Nothobranchius furzeri: one gene and its partner. The protein of the gene in region 2 binds, or shares a complex with, the protein of the main gene of each other region. Links are inferred from orthologs where the notes say so. Each region holds a gene or a part of one and is shown on either strand. Other genes may lie near its edges.

Region 1 (15,198 bases), on a different chromosome or scaffold from region 2:
CAGGAACGGGATTGCTCAGTGACGTAAGACTCGTAGTTGGAAGAAGAATCTGTGTAGAACGAGTTCCTTCCGTCCACTTTCTTATTCTTCTGGTTCTAAGATTCACATTGTATTTGTTAACAAATATATGTTTGTATTTGTAAATAACTTCAATAAAAAAATACTTAACTAATCTTTACATAACGGACAGGAATACCTGCTGACGCTTAACAGAAGTGAAGATAAATTACAGACTAAAAAAACTTTTTAAAAACATAACACCTCCTAATCCATCAATAAATTGCGTGTTCATAGTTCAAAGCTTTAGGTAAAACTTCATGTGTTTAAATAAATGTGTTTTTCACAAACTTTGATGAGAAATTAATTCAATTCAGAAATATTAAATCAGATTTATTTATGAGATTATTTTCAAAGAAGCCACGTTCACTTTTAAAATATGCAAAAAGGCTTCAAAAGAGAATGAAATTCAAACCCACGCCAAACAGCACATTTAATTGATTACTTTACAAAAAATACAATATTTTTTCAGATGTTATTACAATTTCAGTAATAAAATGCTTGTTGCCAACACTGAATAAGTCTGACTTCTCAAAGAAGGAAATTACTACAGAAGTTTGTTTCCTGGAATCCTGATGAACAAGACTACATTGCAGGTGTAAAATATTTTTGTTTGTCTACAATCGTATTTAAAATGCTCCAAAACAACAGAAAAGGTCCCATCCACACATTTCGTATGAACCTTTTAAATAAAAATAACCATAAACAGAAAAAAAATACACCATTAAAAACATTAATACAAAAGAAACCCACTCATGGTCATCAAGAAGTTGAAAAGTCTGCTCTGGATATGTCACAGACAAGGATGACATGTTGACAGCAGACCCAACAGCATCCGATCATCTTCCTCCTGTAAGTTACAAAAATAAACCACGTGACAACAATTAACACCAGATGATAAAATGAAAACTAGAAATCGGTAACAATAACAATGCTCCAACCTCTGAATCCACGTCCTCCACCTCCTCTTCCCCTGAAACCTCCTCCACCACCACCACCACGTCCACCTCCAAACCCCCCACCACGCCCACCTCCAAATCCTCCACCCCTGCCACCCCGGAAACCACCTGAAATTAACAACAACAAAAAAAATCACACCACTTTTACAAGCTGTTCAAATAACCGGAAATTGGTTTAGTAGAAACAAAAACCATCCTAAAAAACTTTAAAGCAAAAGACCAAAAAGGACTAAACATCTGAAATGACTCACCTCCACGACCGCCTCTTCCTCCACCTCTGCCGCCTCCCCTTCCTCCTCTTGGCGGGCCTTTCTCTCCTGGGGGCCGAGGCAGGAATCTTTGCAATGGGAGTAGCTTCATCGGGTCTATGTAAAACTGAAAACCCAATTTTAACAAATATCACAACCTGCAGAAGTATCCGAGTTCAGTATCTGAAAACGTTCTTGTTCTCATCAGTTACCTTCTGCATTTTCTTGAACGACGATGCCTTCAAATTTTCAGACAATTTTACAGAAAAATACTGCGCACACATTAGTTAGGGAATTTAATTATCAGGAAGCTTAAAAAAAACCAATAGTGTTTTAATCATTTTACACAGATGACTCAAAAAAACACACAAGAAAGGATACAAAGTCCCTGAGCTGGCCGAATATCTCATCCACTTTTCCAATCTGCTCTTTGTTTTCCAAGTACACCGGGGCATTGAAATAGGGAACTTTGCTTTCTTCTGTTGTACACTTGCATACAATATCATCCTCACAGGGATGCATGAATTCTCCAACAGCTGTGGAGTAGAAACACAACGATGAGTTTCAGAAAACAAAAAAACATACCTTTAAAATTCAAACTGCAGTCTAATCCAGTCATTTTCTGACTGGTCTGTTGAGCCGTGGATACAGGCTTTATAAGAAAACAGGCTACGTTCACACTGAAGAGTGTTGGTGTCACATTTGAGGCACAATTTCAACAACCACACAAACAAAAATGGAATGGAGCGTTAAGACATGCAGTGTGAATGTTGCTTCAATCTGCCAAATAGGAACAACAGTCTACTTACCGACGACGTACTCTGGAGGACCGTAGTCCTGCTGCCTGTTAAAACCACCTCTTCCACCTCCTCGTCCGAATCCTCCACCACCTCTGAATCCACCACCTCGGTTAAAACCTCCCCCTCTCCCACCACCTCGCCCACCTCCCCGCCCGCCTCCTCCTCTGAAAGACATTCTTCTCAAGTCTGTAAATGAAGGTGTCAGGAAAACACACACACGGTGGGTCATTTTACAGCCTTTCATCACCAAGGTAAAACAGAACCGTGGAACGATTACGCTGAAGACGGTCAGCTTTGTCTATCCTTGGTGTCGTGTCATTTTTAAACTTTCTTTCACATTTCTTCAGCTAAATTCAAATTCTTTATTAAATAAATTCTAGTCGCTGGGATTTTTGGTGATCACATAAAATCCTCAGCTTAAAGAGCAAGTCACCCCCAAATCAACTTTTTTTTTTTAGAAACTATATAAATGCATATCTAATCGGTCTGCAGACACGTGTAGTCAATAGTTTTGCACTTTTGTGGATTTTAGTTAAAATTTTAATTTTCTGCCTAAAACTGTCAGTGTTGTGCCGTTGTCAGGTAAAAACTCTGCACTGCATTTGAACTTAAATCTGCCAAATCTCTATTGGCTAAGAGGTACCCTAGAACATTAGATTAATTATGCCAATGCTGGATCTAGAGGGGTTGAAGACCAACAGAACACTAAGGAAGAGAGGAAATCATCTGTCTGTCCCCAAAACAATTTTTATCTGAATCTGGTGCCCTTGGAGCCTGTGAGGCTGAAGTGAATACTCCCCTCACAGAAGAAATGTGGAATGCTGCCGGCCCGTCGCTATGGAAACATTCTCCCTATCCCAGCCTGGGCGGGACTGTGACCGGTGAAGGTTGTGGAACCGTATCTAGGAGTCAAATGTGCCCTCTAACCCATTATCTCCCTCTCCTGTCCAAGCGGAGGTGATGAATGCTGCTCCATGTGGCTGCACGCACTGAAGTGAGGAGAGTCCCAACCCTACCTCCCCACCTAGTGGACACTTGTGTTGTGTAATGTCTAAAGTCTGTGCATATCTGTCTGAGGTGGTTTTTTTTTTTTGCATTGCAAAGCTGCCCTCTGTGTTGAGGGTAACTGAAGTGCCTTTTTTCCCTCCCCCTGACTCTATCCTCATATTAACCCTCTTGATCTATTACGATAGCGCGACTCGGGTTGCAAATGACCACAGTCACCAATTCTTGTCATGTGTCCATGTATGCATGTCTGATCTCAGAATTGTGTGTACTGAAACTCTAATTTCCCTCTGGGATTAATAAAGTATTTTTAAATTGAATTGATTAGCTGGTACCATACGATGTCACAATGTCGTTGTGAGCCTGTGTGTGTGTGTATTTGTTAGCGGCTCCGCCCTCTCGGTCTGCTAGGCAACAGCATTTGTTGCATTTTTCAAACAGGAAGTGGGAGTTGAGTAAGAATCTGGTAGGGGGTAACTTGCTCTTTAAGACCAACGCTGTTGTTTAAAAGTCACATTGAGTGTTTAATTCAAACGTTATTTTCTTATCAAAATTAGAAATTTACTTTTGTGTTATCACTAGGGTTGTCACGGTAACCGGTATAGCGGTAAACCCCGGTAAAAAAGTTGACAATAAAAATAACCGTCCAGTTTTTAAAAAACTATATTATCTCGGTGGGTTTACCGTGGCCGCGGTTTCGGCGCGGTGACCCTTACCAGCCACCGTCGCTTCAGCTGAAGTTCCCGCGGCGCGCACACGCACTTTTTAGTTTGCAACGGCACCAAAACTTTGAAGCTGAAATAATGGCCGAAGGAGGAGACGGCAGCGCCCAGGACATCCATCAGCCGTCAAAGAAGACTAAATCGGAAGTATGGGCATATTTTGGATTTCTGAAAAATGCTGAGGGACAGTTAATAGAAGACTGCTATCCCGTTTGCAGAACGTGCAGGAAACAAGTGTCTGCAAAAGGCAGCAACACTTCGAATCGAATGGCACATCTGCGTGACCATCACCCACGTCTCTACAGCCAGTGCAAGGTAAGTTAACATTAGCATTTTAGCTTAAATGCATGACGTGAGGACTTTTGGTTGAGGGAGAATGCAACGAGTCACTATATACTGCAGCCGCAGCGTCCTCTGCCAGCATTTAAACCGTGTCACGGACACCTGTTGCTGGATGAAGCATCTTATTTGTTGATGATGAAGAGAAATATACAGTTAGTTCCTTGTCATTGATTTGTTTACTTATTCAATGCCATTTATACTTGAACATTTGGATTTGATTACATAGTGTAGTAGTTATTTTAGTAATTTGTTTAAAGTGGCTATTTATTTTAAATACATATTTTTTTAAGGTTGACTTGTACAGTGCTCAAGTCAAGTGTGGACTGGAGTTTTAGATTTTCATTTTGATAATGAAGAAAACAAGTATATGAGAAAACAAGTGGTGTTTCTTTGATTTGTTTACATATTGTTTATGTTTCGAATGTTTGGATTTGTATAATTTAAACCTGCACTGACTACTGTAACATGTTCCAGAAAAATAAGCTATTTGTTCTTTACTTCTGAAAAGTTGCACTTTTGCTAAGGCTTTGTGTTATTTTAGGTTTAATAAACATTGTTAAACCTTTACAGAACTATTTCAGTTTGTGTAGAACAGGACTATCAATGCTTTCTGAACATATGCAACACCGTTTAAAAAATACCGCGATAATACCGAAAACCGTGATAATTTTGGTCACAATAACCGTGAGGTTAAATTTTCATACCGTGACAACCCTAGTTATCACACCTTTTCTCTTTATTCCCACCTGGGCCAAACCAATTTCTTTTCTTTTTTTTCAACCAGTTTGTTTAAGGTCAGTTTTACTCATATTTTTTATACATTTGCAGTGGTCTCAAGTAGGAATGAGTGCCTTGCTTGTAAAGCCTAGTTTATGCTTTTGCATCAGCACACAAATTAACAGAGATGTTTTGATCTCCGACTTGTCCGTCTTCTGGGGAGTGTTGCAAAGCTACCCCTCCAGGAATAGAGGGCGTAGTTCTGGGGTATACTGTCATGTATAATGTCCAAGATAGACCTGTTCCTATTGGGTTAATAGTGTTTGTATTTTAGAAAATTTTTAAGACAGACAAATTTGTCCCTCATGCTCCCCCACCTCTTCATGCGCTCGCCACCTCTAAACCCACGTTTTCTGTAATTTTCGTCCACGAATAGAGCGTTTGCTGTGTGTCTTTTCACTCCTCCAGTCATGGGTGAATAAAACGTTTATATTTTTATAGAGTTCCTCCATGAGGTATTCATCAAGCTGCTCCTTGTGTGCCGCTGGATATCTTTGGCCTTCTTTATATTTTTGAGGGCGCAATGGCAGTGCTGTTGACGAAAGCGGAGTTCTGACCAATCACAAGACTGTATTCTCTGTCTAAAAGATGTTTAAAAAGTGGGTTAGACTGTCCCATCCTTGTGAGCGTGCTGGTGTGCCCTTGCACGGACAGATAACGGTATTATATGGTGTCATGTCTTCAAACCAAAACCCACCAGCTGTTCCAGATGTAGAACTTGAGTTTACTCTATCCAGGAGCTGCTTTTTTTTATATTGTGTTGGATGCCATTTGCTTTTCTCTATATTTTCTATTTATATTTAAACTGTTTTCTTTTTATTTTGTTTATGTTTAAAATTTGACAGTGTTTGTAGTAAGCATTTCTTGAAATTGCTTCATAATAAACTCCACTTTGATATAAACCTCCTTAAAATGTATATAATTTAAGATCAGTCTCCCAATGATATGTATTGACTGTTTAAAATCCTATATTCTCTATATTTAAAATGGTTTTGAGATTGATTCAAAACTAATCCAAGACCCCTTTGCTCCAGTGTCGTTAGCTCCAACCCTGGTCTGGTCACGGAGGGCCCTGTCCAGCATGTTCGTTGTTTCTCTGTTCCAACATACCTAGTTCACCTGCCCAGAGGCTTCGGATCGGCCCGTTAATCACTTGCCGATTAAAACCACGTTTGTTGAAGCAGAAACCTCTAAAACATCTAGGTTGGTGGTCCTAGAGGACCAAATCTGACACCGCTATTTAACTAAGTTCTCGTTTCAAATGTTGTTTTAACCTTGATTTAAACCATTTTAACAGCGGCAATCGATCATTTTCCAGACTGTATTCCATTTCAAAAATATCTGCAACCTCTATAAACGGTTACATAACTTAATACCAAACTAAAAACCGAGAACAGACGTGATTGCAGTTCACGGCGTGGATTATAGCATGTAGATGCTAACGCGTTAGCTTAAACCGCAATTAAGACGTTTACACGCTCAGTTATTTTAACGGACAAAACGCAACATCTGTTGAGTTTCTTTTAAATTAAACATTTTAAACATATGTGACAAAAGTACAGAGGAACTTATTTACCTGGACTACAAGAAGCCTTTTCGCACTCAAATAACACGTGTGACCATAGACTGTCGTAAACCCGATTACCACAGTCGGAAAGTGTCGTAATTGCCCAACGGTAATATTTATATGAGTAAAGCGCTTTTTGGAGGCATCGTTGATATGTGATGCAACAGCAAGTGGGACAGCTCAAAAGTCGCTTCACAGATAAATGGATATAAACATATCTTCATGTTTTAGTGGACTGCAGACTGAGTAGCCATTAATCAGCTATGGCAAAGGCAGGACAGGTGAGTATTTTTTGATATTTTTCACCGTGTTTAGACTGCTTGTTGATCCTTGTCTTGTGATTTTATTTGAAACCTGAATGAATGTGTATTTTATATTACAAAAGGTGATCAAGTGTAAAGCAGCTGTTGCTTGGGAGCAGAAGAAGCCTTTGTCTATCGAGGAAGTGTTGCTCCACCTAAGCTCAAGGACATAATTCAGCAGCACTTTCATAAAACATCATGACTTTATGCGTGTGATAGTGAAAAGTATTACGCATGTGAACATTTTTCACATCCACATATGCAAACTGCAAGATGAATCATTTCCTGATTTATTTATTTCCTTTCTTTACTTTATGCAACATATTTTTGCTACTGGACTGTGCCACACAGACTGGGAATACCTGTATGAGACTGGGAAAAGACTGAAATTCAGATCATTCCCTTTAGTTCTTGGCCACGAGGCAGCGGGCGTAGTGGAGAGTGTTGGTCCAGAGATCCATCATACCCTGTACAGGCCATATACCCTGTACAGGCCATCATACCCGGTGAGAATGCATTCTCACCGGGTATGATGGCCTGTACAGTTAACTCAAAAGTTGTGATGAGTTCTAACTTTCAATTTTTGTCCTTCTGTTTTGTCGCCAGGAGATAGTTATTCCTCTTTTCTTGCCTTTTTGTGGAAAGTGTGATCGGTGCCAGAGCTCAAAAACAAACTTTTGCAGGAAGAACTGGTAGATCATCTTTGTCACATGTTTAGAAACACAAACATCACATGGGTGTTGGTCTGAATGCACATCATGTGATTTCTAGGGACAATGCACAAAAGGGCGTAATGTCTGATGGCACAAGCAGGATTTCCATCAAAGGTCAGTAGGTCTATCAGTTCCTCGGTATTGACTCCTTCTGTCAGTACACAGTGCTTCCTGACACATCTCTGGCAAAAGTAGCTGATGCACCTCTGGGCAAAGTCTGCTTGTTAGGCACCGGTTATGGTGCTGCTATCAATTCAGGCAAAGTAAGGGGCCTCTAACCAGTAAACAGCTTTGTTCATTCTATAGTTTATGTACTTTCTAATGTTAAAGTGGCTGTTTTTTGCAGAAAGTCATCTTCTTAGTGTGTGTGTGTGTGTGTGTATATATATATATATATATATATATATATATATATATATATATACACTTTTCAAGGTGTAGATCTCACCAGTAGATAGCACTAGATGTTTTTGCCTTTAACCGGATGTTTGCTACATGATAAAATACGCACGAGATATCATCCATTTTAGAAATGAATAATTTACCAGATTATTTTTATTATAAATGGTTTCATGCGTGTTTAAAAAGTCACAGTCAACACTGTAACACTTTGGCCTTAAATTTAATTCCAGATAAAAATGTGCAAATATTTTGGGCATTTTGTTAACAGTTTGGCTTCAGCTTTGTACAGCATCCATTTTTAAAACATATTCTCTGAAACATGAGACTAGGAGCATCATTGCAAAGTAAAATTATAAATTGTGGTTGAGCTTCAAATTAATATTTGTTACAAATGCAATAAATAACACATCGCTAATTAAATTGGGCTATTTGACTTGGTTTATATGGTGGACAACATTTTCACACGCATTAAAACTGCACCTTTCACTCTCCACAGCTACATCCAGGTTTTATCTTTTACACCCAGATTTACACCGGCACACCTATCGACAAATAACTCTAGCCATTAATTTGTATCAGTGACTGTATGCCTCATCAGTGAAAAAAATGGTTGTTTTACTTCTCTTTTTCAGGTTGAAAAAGATTCCTAGTGTGCCTTGTTTGGATTGGGAGCCGTCGGAATGGCTGCCATTATAGGCTGTAAGAATGCCATGGCGAAAACGATCATCGGGGTTGACACCAACCCTCAGAAGTTTGAGAAGGCCAGGCTGTTTGGAGCCACTGAGTGCATCAGCCCGAACAATGGAAGCAAATCCATCCAGGAGGTTCTGGTGGAGAAGACAACTGGAGGAGTGGACGTTGCTCTGGAGTGTGTCGGAAAGCCAGACGTCATGGTGGATTTGTAATTATCTGATTAATTAAACCTAGAGTCAAGAGTCTGCAGGTTGCTACGGACTGAGTGTGCCAGGAAGTTACAGGTAGTTCAGGTATGAGTTGTGCAAAAATAAAAGTGGTTGAATGCTCTCTAAAATTATTGATTATTTTCTAAATATCTGCGTCAACATGTAAGAAAATAAAGAAGACTAAACTCAAACATCTTGTGCTTTCTCAGATTGCAGCATTAGAGTCCACAGCTGAAGCCTGTGGGACCTGCGTCATCGCCGGGCGGATGGAGACTGAAACGATGAGTGTCCCAGTCATAAAGATCCTGATGGGACGCACCTTGAAGGGGACGTATTTTGGAGGTAAGCTGGAAACAAGTTCAATGGTTCACCATAAAGCAGCTGTTGGTCGTAATCCAGGAGCAGAGCTGGATGAGTATAAGACTAAGAGAATCAAAGTTCTCCTTAAGTTGTTTAAACACAAAATAACTGTGTTTGAGGGTTTCCTGTAGGATCTGGTGAGTTATGGTTTTAAATATTCATCTAAAATGTAGTTCTGAATGACCCAGAGTGGTTTCTCTGAACTAAACGTGATCACCACCTTGTTATTGTCATTGTCTTCTGAAGGCTGGAAGAGTGTGTTGGGTGTGCCGAAAATTGTGGATGACTACATGAGTAAAAAGTTGAAGCTGGATGAGTTTATCACCCACACGCAGCCGCTGAATGAGATCAACACGGCCTTTAACCCCCTGGAGAATGGTGAAAGGTGTCGTCATTTATGTCTCTCAGTTTTAGTTGACTTTTTTATTTCTATGTGCTTGTTTGTAGATCCCTCTAATCCAAGGGTGTCCTAATTGTTTAGGATGAGGGCCAAAATTGTCAAGTTATAGTCCTGGCAGGCCACAAAATATGTTTGTTTTTGAATTTACATAATGCAAAAATTATTTTATGGTGCTTTTCTTACACGTCAGATTAGGTCCAAAGTAAGGATATTAGTAAAAATCTGAAAACAACAATGTCAAAGTGTCCAGTACCCTCACTTCCTCAGCCATTAAGTACAGTTTGTCACAGTCTGACTTTTTAAAGGTGCAGTATGTAAGAATATAGAGAGAATTTTACAGTGACTCCCAATAGAGTCAAATTTTTCTGTCATTTAAGAAAGGAAGGTTATACTGAAACATATTTCATATCCAGCTGGCTGTGGGGATTGTCAGTTTTTCTCCTTTCAAAACAAAGGAAAAAGGGACGTTACTACTGTTTGCCATCAGAGTGTGGGGGTGCCGTGTCTCCTGCGGGCTAATACTGCAGCGCCGACATTTTTAATTTGACGACAGCCGGCAAAAAGCTTGAGTTGTTTAAAATGGGTGCAGTAACCAAATTTTACCACATGGTGTCATTTTTACTTCATTTCTACATAATATAAAAAGGAAGTGCTTCAGTGTGTAAAAACAGGAAAGTAGTGGAATAAATTCTTAGGAAAACACTAGTTTTAGAAACTATTGGGCATATAAAATGATCGTCCAAAACATTATGAACACCCACTATTATAATTGATCATCTTTAAAATGGCTCCTTCTACTGGGAGGAAATCGGAAAGCAATCTAGTCTTTAACGTGGATTTATTGAAACAACATTTGAGCAAGCATGATAATCGTCCAAACAGCTGGGCGATGGCATTTTCACAACTTTAGTTCTTGCACAGTCCTTTTCTCAACATTATGTGGACATCAGGGTCTGTGCTATTTACCTTGAGAAGATAAGTTTTTATTTCTTTAGGTAGCAAGATCATTTAAAAATTGTTGCTGACCGCACAAGGATGCACTCGGGGAAAAGAGTTTAGGGGTGGAGCTTCACGGGTAAAAGGTACTGCTTGTTCTCAGCCACCATTTTCAGGGATAGATGTATCAGACTAAGGTAGGAAATGTGGTTCAAAAATGGTTTGAGGAACATAACAAGAGTTCAAAGTGTTGAGTTTACTTCAAGGCTGTCCTGATCTCCGTTTGGTCAAGAACAACACCGCAGTGGCTTTATTTAGTTATTAGCAGAATGTCTTCGTGTCAAATCCCACATCACACCTTAAGGCTGTTTTAGCTGCAAAATATGGACACCTTTCATAACATGCATATAGTTGTGGCAAGGTGGAGAAGCGAGGGCGCAGGCAGGATTCGATCCCCAGACTCCCGGGTGAGAATCACACGCGCTAACCAGTCAGCCAAAGGGACATCCCCGTGGCCAAGTAGCCAGGGCGCATGATCAATCGGGTCACTGTGACAGGACGCTCACACTGCCACATAGTCATAATATTATGGCTATTTCGATGCACTGTATTTGTTATTCTGTGTGTTGTGTATTCATCTAAAGATGTTTTTCTAAGCTGGTTCATGACTGTTTAGAGTATTTCTACTGAAAGGATGCTTTGTTTGTAATGCTGGGACTGATCAATGTTAGTTTTAAAAAGATCTAACAACTTTATTATTCAAATAAATGAATTTATTTAGTTAAAGGAATTGTTTAATCACTATTTTTTAGTTGTTTTGTTTTTTCTCCTTTTCTCAGCATCCGCTCTATCAGTCTTCAGGACTGTGAAGAAGATAAACCAAAGACATGAAGAATTTACTTGCTTTCATCACTGGATAAAAAAGGAAACATTTCTTATTTGTCTTTACCATTCATGCGTTTTTAAGAAAGTAAAACTTTTTCTTTGCAGCTAATTCCCACATTCACCACTAGGTGGCACTTTTACATCACACACAAGATTCTGTTGTGTGAACAAGAGCATCTAACCAAATCAACGTCTTTTTGTTCTGTGTAGAGATTGCTATTTTATCTGGGTTAAATGTTGATGTCTCCTATTTTTTGCTCAAAGCTTTGATGAAAACCTGAATTAAAAACATAAAATGTTCTTTAGACTTCAAATTTATAAACTGCCTCATCTCCACAGGGCTAATTCTCCCTACATCTGTCGTACTTGGCAGTTCCAGTGACACTGATTCTGCTTCAGACTATCTTGTCTGAGAAGTTGGGCTAAAAAACTCTGGCACCAAATCAGCCGTGGAGAAATATCTGCTTCATGTGGTCAGGCTTACCGCGTTTCGTCCTTGGTAATATTACGTATCGATTTAAAAAGGGAGAGTCATCAAGAGCGGTTAGCAAAACAGTTGCAGGCTGTCAGGTCAGAAGACAAAGGGTTGTTTGGGGATTGCGTCTGTAAAGAACCAAAAATAGCTGTCCAAGGAATTTGTTTTATTGAAGTGTTGTTCGGATCAAATGAATACCTTTGGCAGCGATCCGGATTTTCCATCTTCTTCTAAAGTGGAAAACAGATTTGTCCTCTTGTCTTTGGTTGGTCTCCTCTGCCTGCACCATTAATCACAAACTGCACAACTTAGAACAACTCTTTATACATTTGGGGAAAATAATTCAAACTTTAGAGAGAGGGAAGGAGAGCCATGATGATAACAAAGTAGCAGGAGGAGATGAGAGATCAAAAGCGAGAGGAAGACGAGTTTTAACAGGTGTTGGTGAGGCTGGGTACCGTCGTCTGTAAATGCTGGACTAGCTCACAGATTTATAAGGCTTTCTTGGGTACATGTGTCTGAACGTCTTTCTAATCTTTGGGAAAACTATCCAAAGTGATGACTCCAAGTCTACTACCCTCTTTTTTTTACTTTTTGATCCCAGTATCCTCCGGAGTTGTCACAGCATTGTGCAACTGATACGTGGAGGACATGCTGTCTGAGTTAAAACCACTGGACTGCACGCTTTTTAGGGCTCGATTGTCTGTCTCTTCATGTTTCATGTTAATGTCCAGTTTGTCTGAAGTTATTGTTGGAAAGATAAAAGGGTTTAGAAAACTGAATAATGATACTTGATATGTTTCAATGCTGGTGTTTGTTCACGATGACTCTTTTACACATAGGAAATAATAATAATGATGCATTAAACTTATATGGTGCTTTTCAGGACACTCAAAGACACTTTCACACACTCACATTGACACACTGCTAGTGATAGTAAGCTACTTTGTAGCCACAGCCGCCCTGGGGCAGTCTAACAGAGGCGAGGCTGCTATGCGCCGTCGGCCCCTCTGACCACAACCAACACATGGTACAGTGGTGTGAAAAACTATTTGCCCCTTTTTTATTCTTTTGCATGTTTGTCACACAAAATGTTTCTGATCATCAAACATGTTTAACCATTAGTCAAAGATAACACAAGTAAACACAAAATGCAGTTTTGAAATGATGGTTTTTATTATTTAGGGAGAGAACAAAATCCAAACCTACATTGCCCTGTGTGAAAAAGTAATTGCCCCCTGAACCTAATACCTGGTTGGGCCTCCCTTAGCAGCAATAACTGCAATCAAGCGTTTGCGATAACTTTTACAGTGCTCTGGAGGAATTTTGGCCCTCTCATCTTTGCAGAATTGTTGTAATTCAGCTTTATTTGAGGGGTTTCTAGCATGAACCACCTTATTTTTTAATAAGATGTTGTAGGGTTTATAGTTGGTGGTGTTTACCTGAGGCCAAACCTTAACAAAAGAAAACAATCTTAGCTGTTCTTATGACTAGTGAATCAGAACTGGTCTACTTGCCTTCAGCCGATGTTCTGCATCCTCAGAAAAACTTCTGTCCAATGCAAGAATTTCCTGCGTCAGACCGAAGAATCAGTCTAACTATTTTATGTTTGAGTAGATTTCCCAGATGCTAGCCTTTGCTTTTACATTTTGTTTTTTTTTCATAAGCAAAAGTAACTGTGTAGTGGAAAGCAAACATGTGGAGGGACGTGTATTTGCTGGAAAGTAATATCAAGATTGGATTTTTAAATAAATGTGAAGGTATTTGTTCATTTGAGTAATTCTTTTTCAGGTTTTCTTTTTCTATCCAGTGCATAGTAGTGTTAATTCTAATCATAGCATTTCACTTAAGAAATGTTCCAGTTCAATTTTTTATATTAATAATAATAATAGTAATAATAATGCACATTTCTAAGCCAGGGACTCTAAAAAAATGTACAGTTCGGTCATTCACACACTGATGGTGGTGATGAGCTACAACGTTACCACAGCTGCCATGTGACACACAGACAGCGGAAAGGCTGCTACACAATCTGTGCCACCGGTCCCTCCAACCACCAAGTAGGGTGAAGTGTCTTGCCCAAGGACTCAACTGACACTGAAGGAGCCCTGGGTTTTAATCGGCAACCCACTGACTACAGGGCAAACTCCTAAACCCTGAGCCACTTTCACAAATGTTAGAACTAGACCTCTTGACTGGAACATTTCATCTGTTTGTGCATCTTTCTGGTGAAATAAATATTTCAGTAGTATTTCATAGTCCATAGTTCCACTGCAACACGTCAAACATTAAAACCCTCATTTTCTAAAGATTTTATGAAAGTCAAAACCATGTTTGACAGCTAGAACGCAGAATTCATGTAGTTTACAACCCCAAGTCGACCCACTTAAGTCCCTGAGAACTGCCACTGTGAGGCCCCTGTTTTATCAGTAAATCCTAGCCATTATGTGCCTAATGCCTGGCATTGGCTGTGATATCCTCGGCCTTTCCTTGACACAGTTAGCTTTAGCTTCTGTCTCAGTAGTGGAATATACTGAACCTCATTTGAGGATGGCATAACATTTTCAGGGACAGTTTTGTCTCAAGCAGTGGCAAATCTTGTAAAGTAGGGTGTCCTGTTTTAACATTAAATTGTCAAATAAAAGTTGTGCAGGTTTGACTGATATATTAAAAGACAAGGCATTATAATTAGAAGTTATAAAATTTTAAGTGACAGAATGGGGACATTTTACCTGCAATAAAATGCATTGAGCTTTAAAAAGATGCATGCTAATATGTCATGTACTTAGAGCAGGAACATGTAAGGAGTCTATAGTGAAATAATCACAAAACAGCTTAATGTCTCAGTCCTGTTGGAGGGAAGGTTACACTGAACAGATCTGCTGTCTCAGACGACTGGGTGGTGGTCGGTTTTCTCACTTAAAAAAACACAAAAAGGGACGAAGTTACTGTTTACACTCAGTGAGTTTGTGAGGTTGCAGAGTCTGCACTAAGCTAACTCTGCAGCATCTTTTTTTCTTTTTACTCTATTATCGGTAGAAGCAGGCTAAAAGCCAACGGTGAGCTAACAATGCTAAAGGTGAACTAGAAAAAAAAAATCGGTGGCACAGGAGTTAAGTGCTCGCCCAGTAATCGGAAGGCTGCAGGTTCGAGCCCCGCCCAGTCTGTCGCTGTCGTTGTGTCCTTGGGGCAAGACACTCAACCCACGTTGCCTGCTGGTGGTGGTCAGAGGGACCGGTGGCGCCAGTGCTCGGCAGCTTCGCCTCTGTCAGTGCACCCCAGGGCAGCTGTGGCTACATTGTAGCTCATCCCCACCAGTGTGTGAATGTGTGTGTGAATGGGTGAA
Region 2 (15,168 bases):
CAGAGGTTCGTAAATACAGACATTTGTATGATTCAGCTCTCAGAGATCACCGTGATCAACATGTTGTTAATAATTCTTGGAGAGAAATAGCTCGCACCGTCGGAAAAGACGAGGACGCTGTTAAAAATGCTGAAATACCATGTTGTAAACAGTGATTTCTACTTCTACTATGGTGTAGTGTTGGATGCATGCTGTAGAGCTCCATGCTGCCCCCTACAGTTTGGGAGAATATTGGCTCACCGCAGAGACGAGCCGCACAAACCATAAACGCTGCGAGTTGTGAAGCGCGTTCCAGCCGCGAGCCGCATCACCGCGTGGAAAGTGAATGCGTCAAGCATAAACCAAGCTTTAGGGACCCGTCCAACAGGCCGGTGACGCTGTTAAGCTCGTCAGTGCCCGTGAACGGCAGGTTTAAAAACAAGTCGCGCAGCTCCTGATGGAAAGTATATGACGACTTATAGCAGCAGTTTCTTGGAAAAAACACGTCACATTCAAAAGAGAAGAGACGTAAAATTGACACCGAAAATAGAAGATTTAACGACGAGTGGACTGATCAAAATGCTGAAGGGAAACCCATGTGCCTCGTCTGCCTCGTCATTTGCTCGGTAAAGAAAGAATACAACGTGCGGAGGCACTTCAAGACGAGTCACGCTAACTTTGACAATGAATATCCACCAGGCTCAGAGGCTCGACAGATAAAAGTAAAGACACCGAGCCAAAGCTATCAGCGAAGTTGTGTGCATTTCACCCGAACCTGCACGTTGCAGCAGAAAGCCACAACAGCACCTCTGCAAATCGCATGGATATTGACTAAAAATAAAAGAGCATTTACAGATGCTGAAACAGTGCAAGAATGCACACAAGCTGCTGTTGAGGAAGTGGAGACGGATGAAAACGTGAAAGAGCAAGTTATAACTTCGATTAGATCAGTTCCACTGTCCGATACAACCACTGCGAGAAGAGTGGATGCTTTAGGGATATGAGGAAGGCTGACTTCATATCCCTCGCTGTGGATGAATCAACGGGCAGCTCGGATGTTGCTCAACTTTGTATGCTTGTGCGTTTTTATGATGGTCACCGTTTCAAAGAGGACATATTGGGATTAATACCACTTGAAGGGCATACAACCGGAGAAAGTCTTCCAGAAGATTGTGGATGTTTTTCGAGAGAACGGACAGGACTTGGAGTGTATCAAGCTGCTTGTTACAGATGGCGCGCCTTCGATGGCGGGGAAGATCAAAGGATTGTCCTTTGCGCACAATTAAGTGGCGAGTTGAAAAACATAACGGATTCTGTCATGGCTACAAGTAACTTTATCAGATCAACATCTGGTCTCCAACACGGACTGTTTCGCAAACTTCTTGTTAATGTCAGCTGAGCATGCTGACCTACTTTTGCATATCAGTGTGAGGTGGTGAAGCCAGGGAAATGCACTCATGAGAGTCTGAACTGAGGAAAGAAATCATTACTTTTCTTCGTGAATGCAAGCAGAGGAAGGCTGAAACATTTCTGACCAACATGCTGGATGATAAATTTGTGTCTGAGATGTGTTTTTATGTGATATTTTTCATCATTTGAGTGTACTTAACCTGGGACTTCAAGGGAGAGATGAAACAGTTGCTGATGTGGTTGAAAGACTGACTGCTTTTCAAAATAAACTAGACATGTTTTCATCCGATCTCAGTAGCAGACTGCTGCATTTTCCAACCCTCAGTGGCTTCATGAAGTCATCACAATGTGGTAAAGTCACAAAGGTCGTGTCAGACTTTCTGGACCGTTTGAAACACAACTTTGCTCAGAGATTCTGACTTTGACATTCCCAAAGAGTTGCTGCATGTCGCGAGGAACCCATTCACCAGCACGCCCAATACTTCCCCCAAAACAGCGGCGTTCCTGGAGTTACATGGCACTGATGAAGGTCCCCTGCGACTTGAAATGACTGAAATACTAGGGCTGGGGGTAAACGATTATTTTTAAAACGATTATTCTGGCGATTATTTTATCGAATAGTCGACTATTCTAATGACTATTTAGACAATTAATCTAATGATTATTTTTCTATTGCACAATTAACAAAAACCAGAAAATCTCAAATAAATTCCTCAAAAAAATTGATAAATTCTTACTGTAAGAGAATAAACACTACAGGCCTTCCATTTTGTATAACACTGCTTTTATTGTGTTGGTTGGTTATGTTCTGGTGACGTGTAGATCTTGGGAGTGCAGGCTGCTGCCTGAGAGGTGGTAGAAGATGGAGTGTCTCCATGCTGCTTTGTTTTGGTCACTTTTGTGCGGGAGGCGAGTGGTCTTACGACTCTTCCTGGGGAGTTTAGCTCGTGTGCAAAAAGGAAGGGACAATAACGGGATTTAAAAGTTAAAATGATGATCAGGTTTATTTACAACTGCAAAAAAACCATAAATCTTTCCATCCACAGGTTGGGAATAATAAAACTAATTCTGCCTGTGGGGAATTAAAACAAAGTACAAATAAGTAGGGATCCAAACTCTAAACTGGGCGGTTAAACCAAACTCAGGTGATATTTTACACTAAACCGAAAACCCTACACAACACTCTAAATGTAATAAAAGGGAGATCTACACCTCAAAAAAGATTAACTCTAAACCAAAACGTAACAGCTTATCCCAACGCAAGAAGCTGTTAGCGAAGATGCTAACAGTAGCTTTACCAACGTTAAGTTCAAGTTACCAAGTTTAAATAAACCAAAAACACCCAGCAGCAAACAGACCAGCACGGAGGAGAGACTGCTACCACCAAAACAGCTCTCCTCATGTCTGAAAGAAGCTCCTTAATGAAGGGAGAAGCACTCCCGGTGATGTTCTACATCTGCGATAGACACGAAGCAGCGCGTCTGACCCCGGAAGTTGTTGTCCGTTGCCGGGAGACGAGGGCGGGCAAAACAGGAAAGGAACCTAGTAGTGGACGGACATTGTTCCGGGTCTTCGGTATTTGGCGGAGATGTTAGTGAAGGCGGAGAAGAGGGCGAACTAGAGGAAAAACAGGCAGATTCCTCCTCTATTTACAAACTCCTGGGGATGCAACAAGTGGGCGCGGTGCGTCGACTACCGGATCTGACGTCGACAAATTTTTAGAATCGAGCCGTCGACGTCGTCGAGGCTTCGCTACAGCCCTATGAAATACAGGCATCAGGGGAATTCAAAGATGTCCTTCAGGAAAAAGGCTGCGCCAAGCTTTGTCCCAGAGATGTTCCCAAACATGGAAAAACTGGCCATATGTGTCTTAACAATGTTTGGGTCAACACGCGAATCAGCCTTCTCTCACATGAACGCCATAAAAACAGAGAATCGAATGTCCTTGACAAAGGAGCATCTGCATCATTGTTTGCGGATCGCCGTCACCCCACACGAGCCTAACTTTTCTCATCTTGCCCAGTCAAGTGTCATTTTTCTCATTAGAGATCGATCAGTCTCCGGCAGTATGAGGACCAAACACACTATTGTTTCCTTTGATGTGCTTTAAAAGCCAGCAGTTTAATTTTGTTATTTTATTCAAAATGTAGATTGTTCTTATTTGCACAATTGCTCTTACCGTTTTAGTTTATGACTGTGATATTTCCACAAAAAATATGTTAGGTACTGCTACTGGGATTTCAGTCAAACTAAACCGTAGGGCTGTAGCGAAGCCTCGACGACGTCGACGGCTCGATTCTAAAAATTTGTCGACGTCAGATCCGGTAGTCGACGCACCGCGCCCACTTGTTGCATCCCCAGGAGTTTGTAAATAGAGGAGGAATCTGTCTGTTTTTCCTCTAGTTCGCCCTCTTCTCCGCCTTCACTAACATCTCCGCCAAATACCGAAGACCCGGAACAACGTCCGTCCACTACTAGATTCCTTTCCTGTTTTGCCCCTTCGTCTCCCGGCAACGGACAACAACTTCCGGGGTCAGACGCGCTGCTTCGTGTCTATCGCAGATGTAGAACATCACCGGGAGCGTTTCTCCCTTCATTAAGGAGCTTCTTTCAGACATGAGGAGAGCTGTTTTGGTGGTAACGGTCTCTCCTCCATGCTGGTCTGTTTGCTGCTGGGTGTTTTTGGTTTATTTAAACTTGGTAACTTGAACTTAACGTTGGTAAAGCTACTGTTAGCATCTTCGCTAACAGCTTCTTGCGTTGGGATAAGCTGTTACGTTTTGGTTTAGAGTTCATCTTTTTTTGTGGTGCAGATCTCCCTTTTATTACATTTAGAGTGTTGTGGGTTTTCGGTTTAGTGTAAAATATCACCTGAGTTTGGTTTAACCCGTAAGACCACTCGCCTCACGCACATAAGTGACCAAAACAAAGCAGCATGGAGACACTCCATCTTCTACCACCTCTCAGGCAGCAGCCTGCACTCCCAAGTTCTACACGTCACCAGAACATAACCAACCAACACAATAAAAGCATGGAAGGCCTGTAGTGTTTATTCTCTTACAGTAAGAATTTATCAATTTTTTTGAGGAATTTATTTGAGATTTTCTGGTTTTTGTTAATTGTGCAATAGAAAAATAATCATTAGATTAATTTTCTAAATAGTCATTAGAATAGTCGACTATTCGATAAAATAATCATCAGAATAATCGTTTTAAAAATAATCGTTTACCCCCAGCCCTACTAAACCGGTTGTTTTCTACGCTTTACTAAGCACAGAGCAAGTGCTGTCACTATGAGTTGTTGACTCAGACTTTTCTTTCATTTATATGCTTTAAAAGCCAGTAGTTTAATTTTGTGATTTAATTGAAAGTTTTGTTTGTTCTTATTTGCATAAAAGACATTGTAATTATCGTTACTGTGTTCTTTATGTGACCGTGATTTCAGTCAAACTACAGCTGGTTATGTTTTCTTGGCTTTATTTTAAGCGAAAACAAGTACTGTAACTGAGTTTGTGACTCGGAGTTCTGTTAAAACCAGAGTTGGCTATGTTTTGCAGTTTCTATTATTTTCACTAAAAACCAGCAGTTAATCCTAATGTCATTTGACTTGTTTCAATAAAACTGTTGAAAATGCAGCGGCACTTTGTTTTAATAGGTAAATATGAGATACGGGGAAATGTACGGCCCGCTGGCAAAAGCCTCATGATAATTTGGCCCAACAAAAAATCTAACCGAGTAGCCCTGCGTTAAAAGCTGTACTCTGGCCCCATGCATGCGCGGGTTTCCTCCGGGTACTCCGGTTTCCCCCACAGATCACAACACGCCCTATAGGTTATAAATTGTAAGTCGCTTTGGATAAAAGCGTCTGCCAAATAAATAAACATAAACATACTTGTGACAAACGGGCAACTTTAAGGTCACGTGACCACCACTACTGCTCAGCAAAAACTACGTCCTCGAGACTGTAAACACCCAGACCCTGGAGCAGAACATGATAACAACATATAAATGATGAAAACTCAGCAACAGAGCTGAGGCGGACTTTCGGCATTGCCATGGAAACCTGTAAACACTCCAGCTATCCAGCTTTGATCAAACAGCTGGTGGCATGTTTTAGTTCTGATGTCTTTGTAGTCCTCGTAAATCTTCCTCTATCCAGATGAAGGACGAGGCTCTGTACCTTCTTCCATTCTCATTTATCTAGTATCGATTAACAGGGTCTGCCTGTGGGCCTTGCTTTAAATAGAGATGATTCCACTCGAGCATCGTTGGTGGTACGGAAGCATGGATTCATTATAGCGCTGACGTTCTGAGCTCACTACGTGGAACCCCCTCCCCCCGGTGTAGATGGACCAGATATGCACACGGCCCTGATTTAGATCAAAACCGTTGGATCATATATACACATATATCATATATAATAATAGTACTAGTAATAGTAGTAATAATAATAGTAATAATAACGTTTAACACAATCAGAATCTAAAAACCACGACACCAGCCCTTTACCTCATAGAATGTGTGTTTTACTTGAAGTCAAGGGTTAAAACTGACGTGTGAGAAATCTGAAATCCTGACAACACCTGCTGACCTTTGACCCCAGCTCCACTCACTCACCGTTTTAGAGGGCACGTAGGCGTACGGCAGGCTCCTGTCCTCACACATGATGGGCAGGTGACAGTACACGTCGATGGGCAGCGTGTCGCCCGCCAGGACCACGATGCTGCAGAGACCAGACCGGGTTCAGGTGAGCACAGGTGAGGTTCTAACGCGCGGATGACTACGGTGTCCTGAATGGTTCAATGCGCTAAAACTGAATAATGTTCACATTTAAATACATAAAAAAAAAATTAGTGCGGAACTTCTTCTGAGGGACAGAAAACAGTGACGGACCGGACCACTACAGTAATGGGGACTGAGGTTCTGGACGGACCCGGGCACCGTGAAGCTAACTCACCCTTTCTCTCCTTTCTTGATGAACTTCTGAACTTCTTTCACGCCCCTCCGGATGTTCTTCACCTTAGCAGCTGAAATCAAAACACCGGGTAAAGAAGCGGGACACAAGCACCGGTCTAACGGGTCTCGGTGGTCTTTTACCCTTTTTCACGCACTTGTAGAGCTTCTTGCTGAGCTTCCTGGAGGCCAGCGGCTGAGAGATCGGGTTCAGGTGGGAGACCAGCTCCTGGTAGGTCCTCTCGGAACCACCGGCCGATGCGACCGAATCATTTGGATCCGCGTTTTCCTTCTTCGTCTTCGTCATCTCTGATAATCAATAACCGATTGTTGCTTTCTGCTTTCACCCAGCACGCACGTGTTTTAACTCTTGTCCCGGACTAACAGGACCATTGGACCACAGCGCCCCCGGCGGCCAGGAGCGGAAATGTCGGCAAAGTCTACAGAGGGCCTGTAGACGCGCGCGCGCGTGTGTGTGCGTGTGCGTGTGTGTGTGTGTGTGTGTGTGTGTGTAGAAGAAGAAAGTATCATTTCTATAGCGCCTCTCAGGATGAAAATCACGAGGCGCTTCACAAAAAAAAGTGTAAAACATAAAAAAATAATTTAGAAAATGGTTAAAATATGTTTAAAATGAGCAAAAAATAGACAATTGTGATTAAAAAAATGTAAAGAAAGAGAGAGAGAGTGAATAGATAGGGAAAGATCCTGAGGAAGGTGGAATAGGTGGGGAGAGCAGAATAAAGAGAGTGGTGAAGAAGGTCACACAAAAGCCAGCCTGAACAAGGGCAACACCTCTGAAGATAAGAGTCAAGAGGTGCTTCACAAGAACAAAACTAAAACATGATTAAAAACACATAATAAATTGTGAAAATGGAAAATTTAACATAAAAATGAGAGGGAAGAAAGAAAACGAGTAAGAAGAGGTAGCAGCACCTGAACAGGTGAGCGTTCAGCTGCATTTTAAAGGAGACCACTGGATGTAAAACAGCTGGTGGTCTGTTTTAGTTCTGACATCTTTGTAGTCCTCAGAGACACAAATGTATGATTATTGCTCCGTCTGGGAGAAGAACGATGCTCTGTCCTCTTCTTCCATACTCATTTATCTGCAGTGATGTGACATTCACGAGCAAATCAAATCTTTTGGTTTTCAAAGTGAACAATGAGAGCCGAGTCTCTGTAGAGAGCCGTTCATCTTGTCTTCCAGTACCAAGCCTCCCCGGAGGTCGGCAAAGCGCACCCGCTCAACCCCCACCCAGCCCGTGACGGACGTGGACAGAACGCTACCCATCCCAACCACCGTGCGCCCTCACATAAAAACCTTTTCTTTGATCTCACTTCTGATTTAGTGGAATGTGTGTGAGAAAAATGTTACGAAGCATTTTAAAGATGCAACAAATTCCACACAGCAATAATTATTATCTGTAAAATGTTGCTAGTTAACTCATTAAAGAGCAAGTCACCCCCTACCAGAGGCTTACTCCACTCCCACTTCCTGTTTGAAAAGTGCAACAAATGCTGTTGCCTGGCAGAGTGAGAGGGTGGAGCCACTAACAAACACACAAACACACAGGCTCACAACAGCATTGTGACATCATATAGTACCAGCTTATGTCATAGTGTACCTCAGTGTGTCCCAACCCTGGTCCTCAGGGACAACTGTCCTGGATGTTGTCCATGTCTCTGCTTCAGCACACCTGATTTACATCGGCTCTTCAGAAGGACATCAAGTGCTGCAGATGCCCGTTAATCACTGCTTCATTTAAAGGCCCCTTGTGTGAAATTCACAGAAATCATAGTAAAAAGATCCGACTCTTTAGCACCACGCAGTTTAGAGTCGGTATTGCAGCTATTGGAGCCCCCGAGGATCAAAAAGGTTTTTTTAATCATTATTTAAAACTTTATTAACAAATATAACAAATACAATACAAAATCGTGTTGCTGTAAACGGCAGCATGTCATCATCTAATTCCAGCTTTCAAGTCAGCGAACAGGTTAGTTGTTTTCATCTAACTTATTTTATTAATTTAATCTAAATAGGTTTTGAATAAGAAAAACTTTTTTATGTCAGTTATGTTTGCTAATAGCAAACGGCAGCTAGTTAGTGATGACTTCAGACTACAAAAAATGACAATATTTTGTTCATTTTATTTGAGAAATGTTATATTTCTATTTGCCATTTTGGAAATATACAAGGTAGTGTAGTCTGTAATTGTTTTCTCTCCGTAAACAGAGTCAGACATCATCCGATGGTTCATCAGTGGAGACAGACAGAGGACGAGGGAGAGGAAGAGGGCGAGGACAGACGTGTGCCAGCGCACAGAGAGGCAGAGGTGTTAGACATGCGACAGAAGCAGGGCAAGCATCCCAAGATGAAGGAGCCGAATTTGCTCAAACCAGCCGCAACGTCCCACGCACAAGAGGAAGAGGCAGAGCTGCAATAAAGTCTAGAAGATCGGCGCTTTCAAGCGCTTTCAAACTATCCCGTTTCTCAAGTTTGCTTGTAGAATATGTGTGATCCTCCATCGCTAGAAGTACGGTGTGGCTAGTTTCTTCTTCTTCTTAGTTACTTTGTCAGACTGCAAGCTTACAAGGCGCACTTCTGCCCCCTGCTGTTTCTTTGAGGTTACATCATTTAAAAACGCAAACATCAAATGCGAAGCTTAATATGTTGTATGTCCCTAAAAGGTCACTGTATTTTAAGATGGCGCATGCCATATGGAGCACCGGTCTGCTTCTTTTGTCTAAAATATTAAAATATAAAGCTAATAATAATGCTTAGAATAAATGCTTGTTTGAATTATCATTAAAAAAAACAAATTTGAGAATGTGATACAAGAAATTTGATAACTTATAAGATGAAATATCACACATTGGGCCTTTAAGTCAGGTGTGTGGCAGCAGAGACACACTGGTGTGTGAAAGGACAACATGGAGAACATGCAGGACAGTGGTCCCTGAGGACCAAGTTTGGGAAACACTGGACCTCTTAGACAACAGCGATGGCAGATTTAAAGTTAAAGTCCCAAAGTCATCATCACACACTGGTGAAATTCATCTCCACACGTGACCCGTCCCCATGGAGAGGAGCAGTGAGCTGTAGCGGTGGCTGTGCTCGAGAACGGTTTGGTGGTTTAACCCCCCCGATCCAACCCCTCAAAGCTGAGTGTGAAGCAGGGAGGTGCTGGGTCCCATTTTTAAAGCCTTTGGTACGACCCGATCGGAAATCAAACTCCCATCTCCAAGTCCCAGGGCAGACACCCCACCACTAGGCCACTGAGTGGCTTTAACCCTCTGGAGGCAGGTGTTGCAGATTAGCAACGTTAAAACCTACCTTCCCGGTTACTCCACATACTTATATCTTTCATGAGCATTTTTTTAACTCAGAAGTTCCCCTGAAGGACTTAGTGTTCGTCCTTTTATCAAAACTTATTTTGAGCCTGAGAGGGTTAAATGATAGAAATTCAAATGCAGTGCAGAGTTCTTACCTGAAGGGGGCGCAACACTGACAGTTTTAGGTAGAACATTTTAATTTGAACTAAGATGCACTAAAGTCCCAAATTATTGACTACACGTCTACAGCCTGATAAAATATAAAATAAACAAAAGCAGCAATTCTATAAAAAAAACTAAGATCTGAATGAAAAAACAAACCAGTTTTATCTCGGACCTCCGATTTGACTCACAGTCACTAAAATCAGTAATAAAACACAAAAGATGTCAAATCTGATGTCATTAATGACCTTTGATCCTATCTCTGAGGTCACACTTCAGGCTGTGTTCACGTTAAATCACAAAGTTTCTGTCTGAAACTGAAGAAAACACTAAAAAAAAACAAATCAGACAAAACAAAAGAGTAAAAACATCAAAATAAAAACCTATAGCACAAAGAGCCGAGTCACTTCTGGAGCAGTGATATCATGCTGATGACATCATCCTCAGCTGCTGAAGATGTCGCTCAGCACCGTTGGCAGCTGCCTCTCCTTCATCTCTGAGGCCATCTGACACCATACACACGGGAGACAGAAGGTGGAGCTCAGGCAATCCAAACACAGGTCACCCTGAAAGTAAACAAAAAAACAACAACAGAACTCACCCAGAGGGGTTTACTGTGAGACCTGTTCACACGTCCTTCATTCTGGTTCTATAGAACCTAAAAGTCCACAAGAGGTTCTGGTTGAATTTAGACTTTCATATAAAAACTTGTGATTTAATCGTCATTTCATTTAAAACTAAACAAATAGAACAAACCAAGACTTTGTTCACAGGATCAGATCCTGATGTCGAAAGCAGGATTCCTTCAGTTAGAATGCTGTTTGGGTTGGGTCAGCACCACTCTCATCCATAAATACCTCCACTGATAATTAGAGGCTCTGTGGAATCAGATCTGATTTCTACAGAATAATCAGAAATCAGGACCAAAGAATAAAAGCAGCTCCAGTTTCATCCTGATGGGTTTTCCTGCTGCAGTGAATTAAGATCTGATTCTTTTTTCTCATCCTTCTGGTGCTGAGAACTACGAGTTAATGAAAATAGTTCGGATCCAACATGGTTGTTACTTTGGATCAGAACCAGGACTCAGAAGGTTGTTTCATTAAACCCAATACTTAGCATGTGCTCCTCATGCATGTGTGGAGTTAGCACGTTCCCCTTGTGCGTGTGGACTTAGCGTGCTCTCCTTGTGCATGTGTGGAGTTAGCGTGTTCTCCTTGTGCATGTGTGGAGTTAGCGTGTTCTCCTTGTGCATGTGTGGAGTTAGCGTGTTCTCCTTGTGCATGTGTGGAGTTAGCGCGTTCTCCTTGTGCATGTGTGGAGTTAGCACGTTCCCCTTGTGCATGTGTGGAGTTAGCACGTTCCCCTTGTGCGTGTGGAGTTAGCGTGTTCTCCTTGTGCATGTGTGGAGTTAGCATGTTCCCCTTGTGCGTGTGGAGTTAGCGTGTTCTCCACATGCATGTGTGGAGTTAGCGTGTTCTCCACATGCTTGTGTGGAGTTAGCACCTTCTCCTCGTGCCTGTGTGGAATTAGGGTGTTCTCCTCGTACATGTGTGGAGTTAGCATGTTCCCCTTGTGCGTGTGGAGTTAGCGTATTCTCCACATGCATGTGTGGAGTTAGCACATTCTCCTTGTGCATGTGTGGAGTTAGCATGTTCTCCACATGCATGTGTGGAGTTAGCACGTTCCCCTTGTGCATGTGTGGAGTTAGCGTGTTCTCCTCATGCTTGTGTGGAGTTAGCGTGTTCTCCACATGCATGTATGGAGTTAGCACGTTCCCCTTGTACATGTGTGGAGTTAGTGTGTTCTCCTCATGCATGTGTGGAGTTAGAATGTTCTCCACATGCATGTGTGGAGTTAGCATGTTATCCTCGTGCATGTGTGGAGTTAGCGCGTTCTCCACATGCATGTGTGGAGTTAGCATGTTCTTCTCATGCATGTGTGGAGTTAGCACGTTCTTCTCATGCATGTGTGGAGTTGTTGTGTTCTCGTGCATGTGTGGAGTTAGCGCGTTCTCCACATGCATGTGTGGCGTTAGCACGCTCTCCACATGCATGTGTGGAGTTAGCACGTTCTTCTCATGCATATGTGGAGTTGGTGTGTTCTCCTTGTGCATGTGTGGAGTTAGCACGTTCTCCACATGCATGTGTGGCGTTAGCACACTCTCCACATGCATGTGTGGAGTTAGCATGCTCTCCTCATGCATGTGTGGGGTTAGCATGTTCCCTTCATGCATGTGTGGAGTTAGCACGTTATCCTCGTGCATGTGTGGAGTTAGCACATTATCCTCGTCCATGTGTGGAGTTAGCACGTTATCCTCGTGCATGTGTGGAGTTAGCACGTTATCCTCGTGCATGTGTGGAGTTAGCACGTTATCCTCGTGCATGTGTGGAGTTAGCACGTTATCCTCGTGCATGTGTGGAGTTAGCGCGTTCTCCACATGCATGTGTGGAGTTAGCATGTTCTTCTCATGCATGTGTGGAGTTAGCACGTTCTCCTCGTGCATGTGTGGAGTTAGCGCGTTCTCCACATGCATGTGTGGCGTTAGCACGCTCTCCACATGCATGTGTGGAGTTGGTGTGTTCTCCTCGTGCATGTGTGGAGTTAGCACGTTCTCCACATGCATGTGTGGAGTTAGCATGCTCTCCTCATGCATGTGTGGGGTTAGCATGTTCCCTTCATGCATGTGTGGAGTTAGCACGTTCTCCTTGTGCATGTGTGGAGTTAGCACGTTCTCCTTGTGCATGTGTGGAGTTAGCGTGTTCTCCTCGTGCATGTGTGGAGTTAGCACGTTCTCCCTGTGCATGTGTGGAGTTAGCGTGTTCTCCACATGCATATGTGGAGTTAGCACGTTCTCCTTGTGCATGTGTGGATTTATTGTGTTCTCCTCGTGCATGTGTGGAGTTAGCATGTTCTCCACATGCATGTGTGGAATTAGCGTGTTCTCCTTGTGCATGTGTGGAGTTAGCACGTTCTCCTTGTGCATGTGTGGATTTATTGTGTTCTCCTTGTGCATGTGTGGAATTAGCATTTTCTCCACATGCATGTGTGGAGTTAGCACATTCCCCTTGTGCATGTGTGGAGTTAGAGTGTTCTCCTCATGCATGTGTGGAGTTAGCGTGTTCTCCTCATGCATGTGTGGAGTTAGAGTGTTCTCCACATGCATGTGTGGAGTTAGCACGTTCTTCTCATGCATGTGTGGAGTTGTTGTGTTCTCCTCGTACATGTGTGGAGTTAGCACATTGTCCACATGCATGTGTGGAGTTAGCACGTTCTTCTCATGCATGTGTGGAGTTGTTGTGTTCTCCTCGTACATGTGTGGAGTTAGCACATTGTCCACATGCATGTGTGGAGTTAGCACGTTCTTCTCATGCATGTGTGGAGTTGTTGTGTTCTCCTCGTACATGTGTGGAGTTAGCACATTGTCCACATGCATGTGTGGAGTTAGCACGTTCTTCTCATGCATGTGTGGAGTTGTTGTGTTCTCCTCGTACATGTGTGGAGTTAGCACATTGTCCACATGCATGTGGAGTTAGCACATTGTCCACATGCATGTGTGGAGTTGGTGTGTTCTCCTCGTGCATGTGTGGAGTTAGCACGTTCTCCACATGTTTATGTTTATGTATTTAGCAGATGCTTTTGTCCAAAGCGACTTACAAGTGATAATCGGCATTTTGCCCTTGAGGCTAACAACAACAATAACAACAACAACATTGACATCAGTCATGGAGAGGAGGGAACAAGGAGTGGACAGCAGAGAGGGGGGGACGGGTGCAGGCAAGGTGCTAGTTAAGAAGATGCTCTCGGAAGAGCAGGGTCTTCAGGAGTTTCTTGAAAATTGAAAAGGAAGCTCCTGTTCTGGTAGTGCTTGGTAGGTCATTCCACATTTGTGGAACGATGCATGAGAAAAGTCTGGATTGTCCTGAGCGTGGTGTAGGCACTGCTAGCCGACGATCCTGTGATGACCGGAGCGGCCGGGCCGAGTTGTAAGCCTTTGCAAGAGGATTCAGGTAGATGGGAGCCGTACCGTCTCGGACTTTGTATGCTAGTGTTAGCAATTTGAATTTGATGCATGCTGCTAGCGGTAGCCAGTGGAGCTCAATGAACAATGCATGTGGAGTTAGCACGTTCTCCACATGCATGTGTGGAGTCAGCACGTTCTCCACATGCATGTGTGGAGTCAGCACGTTCTCCACATGCATGTGTGGAGTCAGCACGTTCTCCACATGCATGTGTGGAGTTAGCACATTCTCCACATGCATGTGTGGAGTTGGTGTGTTCTCCTCGTGCATGTGTAGATTTAGCACGTTCTCCATATGCATGTGTGGAGTTAGCATGTTCTCCTCGTGCATGTGTGGAGTTAGCATGTTCCCCTCATGCATGTGTGGAGTTAGCATGTTCTCCTCGTGCATGTGTGGAGTTAGCATGTTCTCCTCGTGCATGTGTGGAGTTAGCATGTTCTCCTCGTGCATGTGTGGAGTTAGCTTGTTCTCCTCATTCATGTGTGGAGTTAGCATGTTCTCCTCGTGCATGTGTGGAGTTAGCATGTTCCCCTCATGCATGTGTGGAGTTAGCATGTTCTCGTGCATGTGTGGAGTTAGCTTGTTCTCCTCATTCATGTGTGGAGTTAGCATGTTCTCCTCGTGCATGTGTGGAGTTAGCATGTTCTCCTCGTGCATGTGTGGAGTTAGCATGATCTCCTCGTGCATGTGTGGAGTTAGCAATCTGAGATTGGGATTAAAGTTTTGACTACAAGAATAAACATAAAAACTGTTTGAGTTTAAATTAGGAGATGAGATAATTAGTTGTAAACCCAAACCCAAACTCTGACCTGAGACCTGGACACACAGACTGTCCTCCAAAAGGTCCTGAGTTCTCCAGGAAGAGGTATGTTACCATGGTGACTGCCTTAGATCCAGATTAGTGTCCTTACTTTGATCCTGTATCGATGACGCATGGACACCCTGATGGACATGGTGATAGGATGGATACAACCAAATACGTCCAACAGAGGGAGACAGAGACACTGACCAAACTCCTTAGTGGTCTTACAGGCGAAACAGGGACAGCACCAGCACGCAAAGCAGCCTGGAGACACATGAAGAATATCACGGGAGTCCAAAGTGTGTCCCGGAAATTCTCATCTACACTGAACCAAAATATAAACGCAACACTTTTTTTGCATTTTTCATGAGCTGAACTCCAATATCTGAAACTTTGTCTACAAACACAAAACAGCGATGACTCTCACGTTGTTCTGAAATGTATCTACATGTGTTTTAGTGAGCACTTTTCCTTTACCAAGATAATCCATCCCACCTCACAGGTGTGGCACATC

What was found.
Region 1: nhp2 (region 2) and gar1 share a complex: the UniProt entries of both Homo sapiens proteins name them as parts of the H/ACA small nucleolar ribonucleoprotein (H/ACA snoRNP) complex. The link is inferred for Nothobranchius furzeri from reciprocal best matches to the Homo sapiens genes NHP2 and GAR1.

The regions. Positions count from the first base shown.
Region 1 is NC_091741.1:77,340,897-77,356,094, reverse strand, and holds gar1 (H/ACA ribonucleoprotein complex subunit 1), read right to left. Parts: upstream 3,457-15,198; 5' UTR 2,309-3,456; coding exon 2,074-2,308; intron 1,801-2,073; coding exon 1,646-1,800; intron 1,537-1,645; coding exon 1,477-1,536; intron 1,392-1,476; coding exon 1,268-1,391; intron 1,125-1,267; coding exon 999-1,124; intron 908-998; coding exon 897-907; 3' UTR 466-896; downstream 1-465. UniProt on the Homo sapiens protein: Required for ribosome biogenesis and telomere maintenance. Part of the H/ACA small nucleolar ribonucleoprotein (H/ACA snoRNP) complex, which catalyzes pseudouridylation of rRNA.
Region 2 is NC_091750.1:25,727,511-25,742,678, reverse strand, and holds the start of nhp2 (H/ACA ribonucleoprotein complex subunit 2-like protein), read right to left. Parts: upstream 6,762-15,168; 5' UTR 6,649-6,761; coding exon 6,486-6,648; intron 6,416-6,485; coding exon 6,346-6,415; intron 6,146-6,345; exon of another isoform or gene 6,112-6,145; coding exon 6,006-6,111; intron 1-6,005. Other genes in the region: cornifelin, read right to left, coding at 10,277-10,399, 14,764-14,918. UniProt on the Homo sapiens protein: Required for ribosome biogenesis and telomere maintenance. Part of the H/ACA small nucleolar ribonucleoprotein (H/ACA snoRNP) complex, which catalyzes pseudouridylation of rRNA.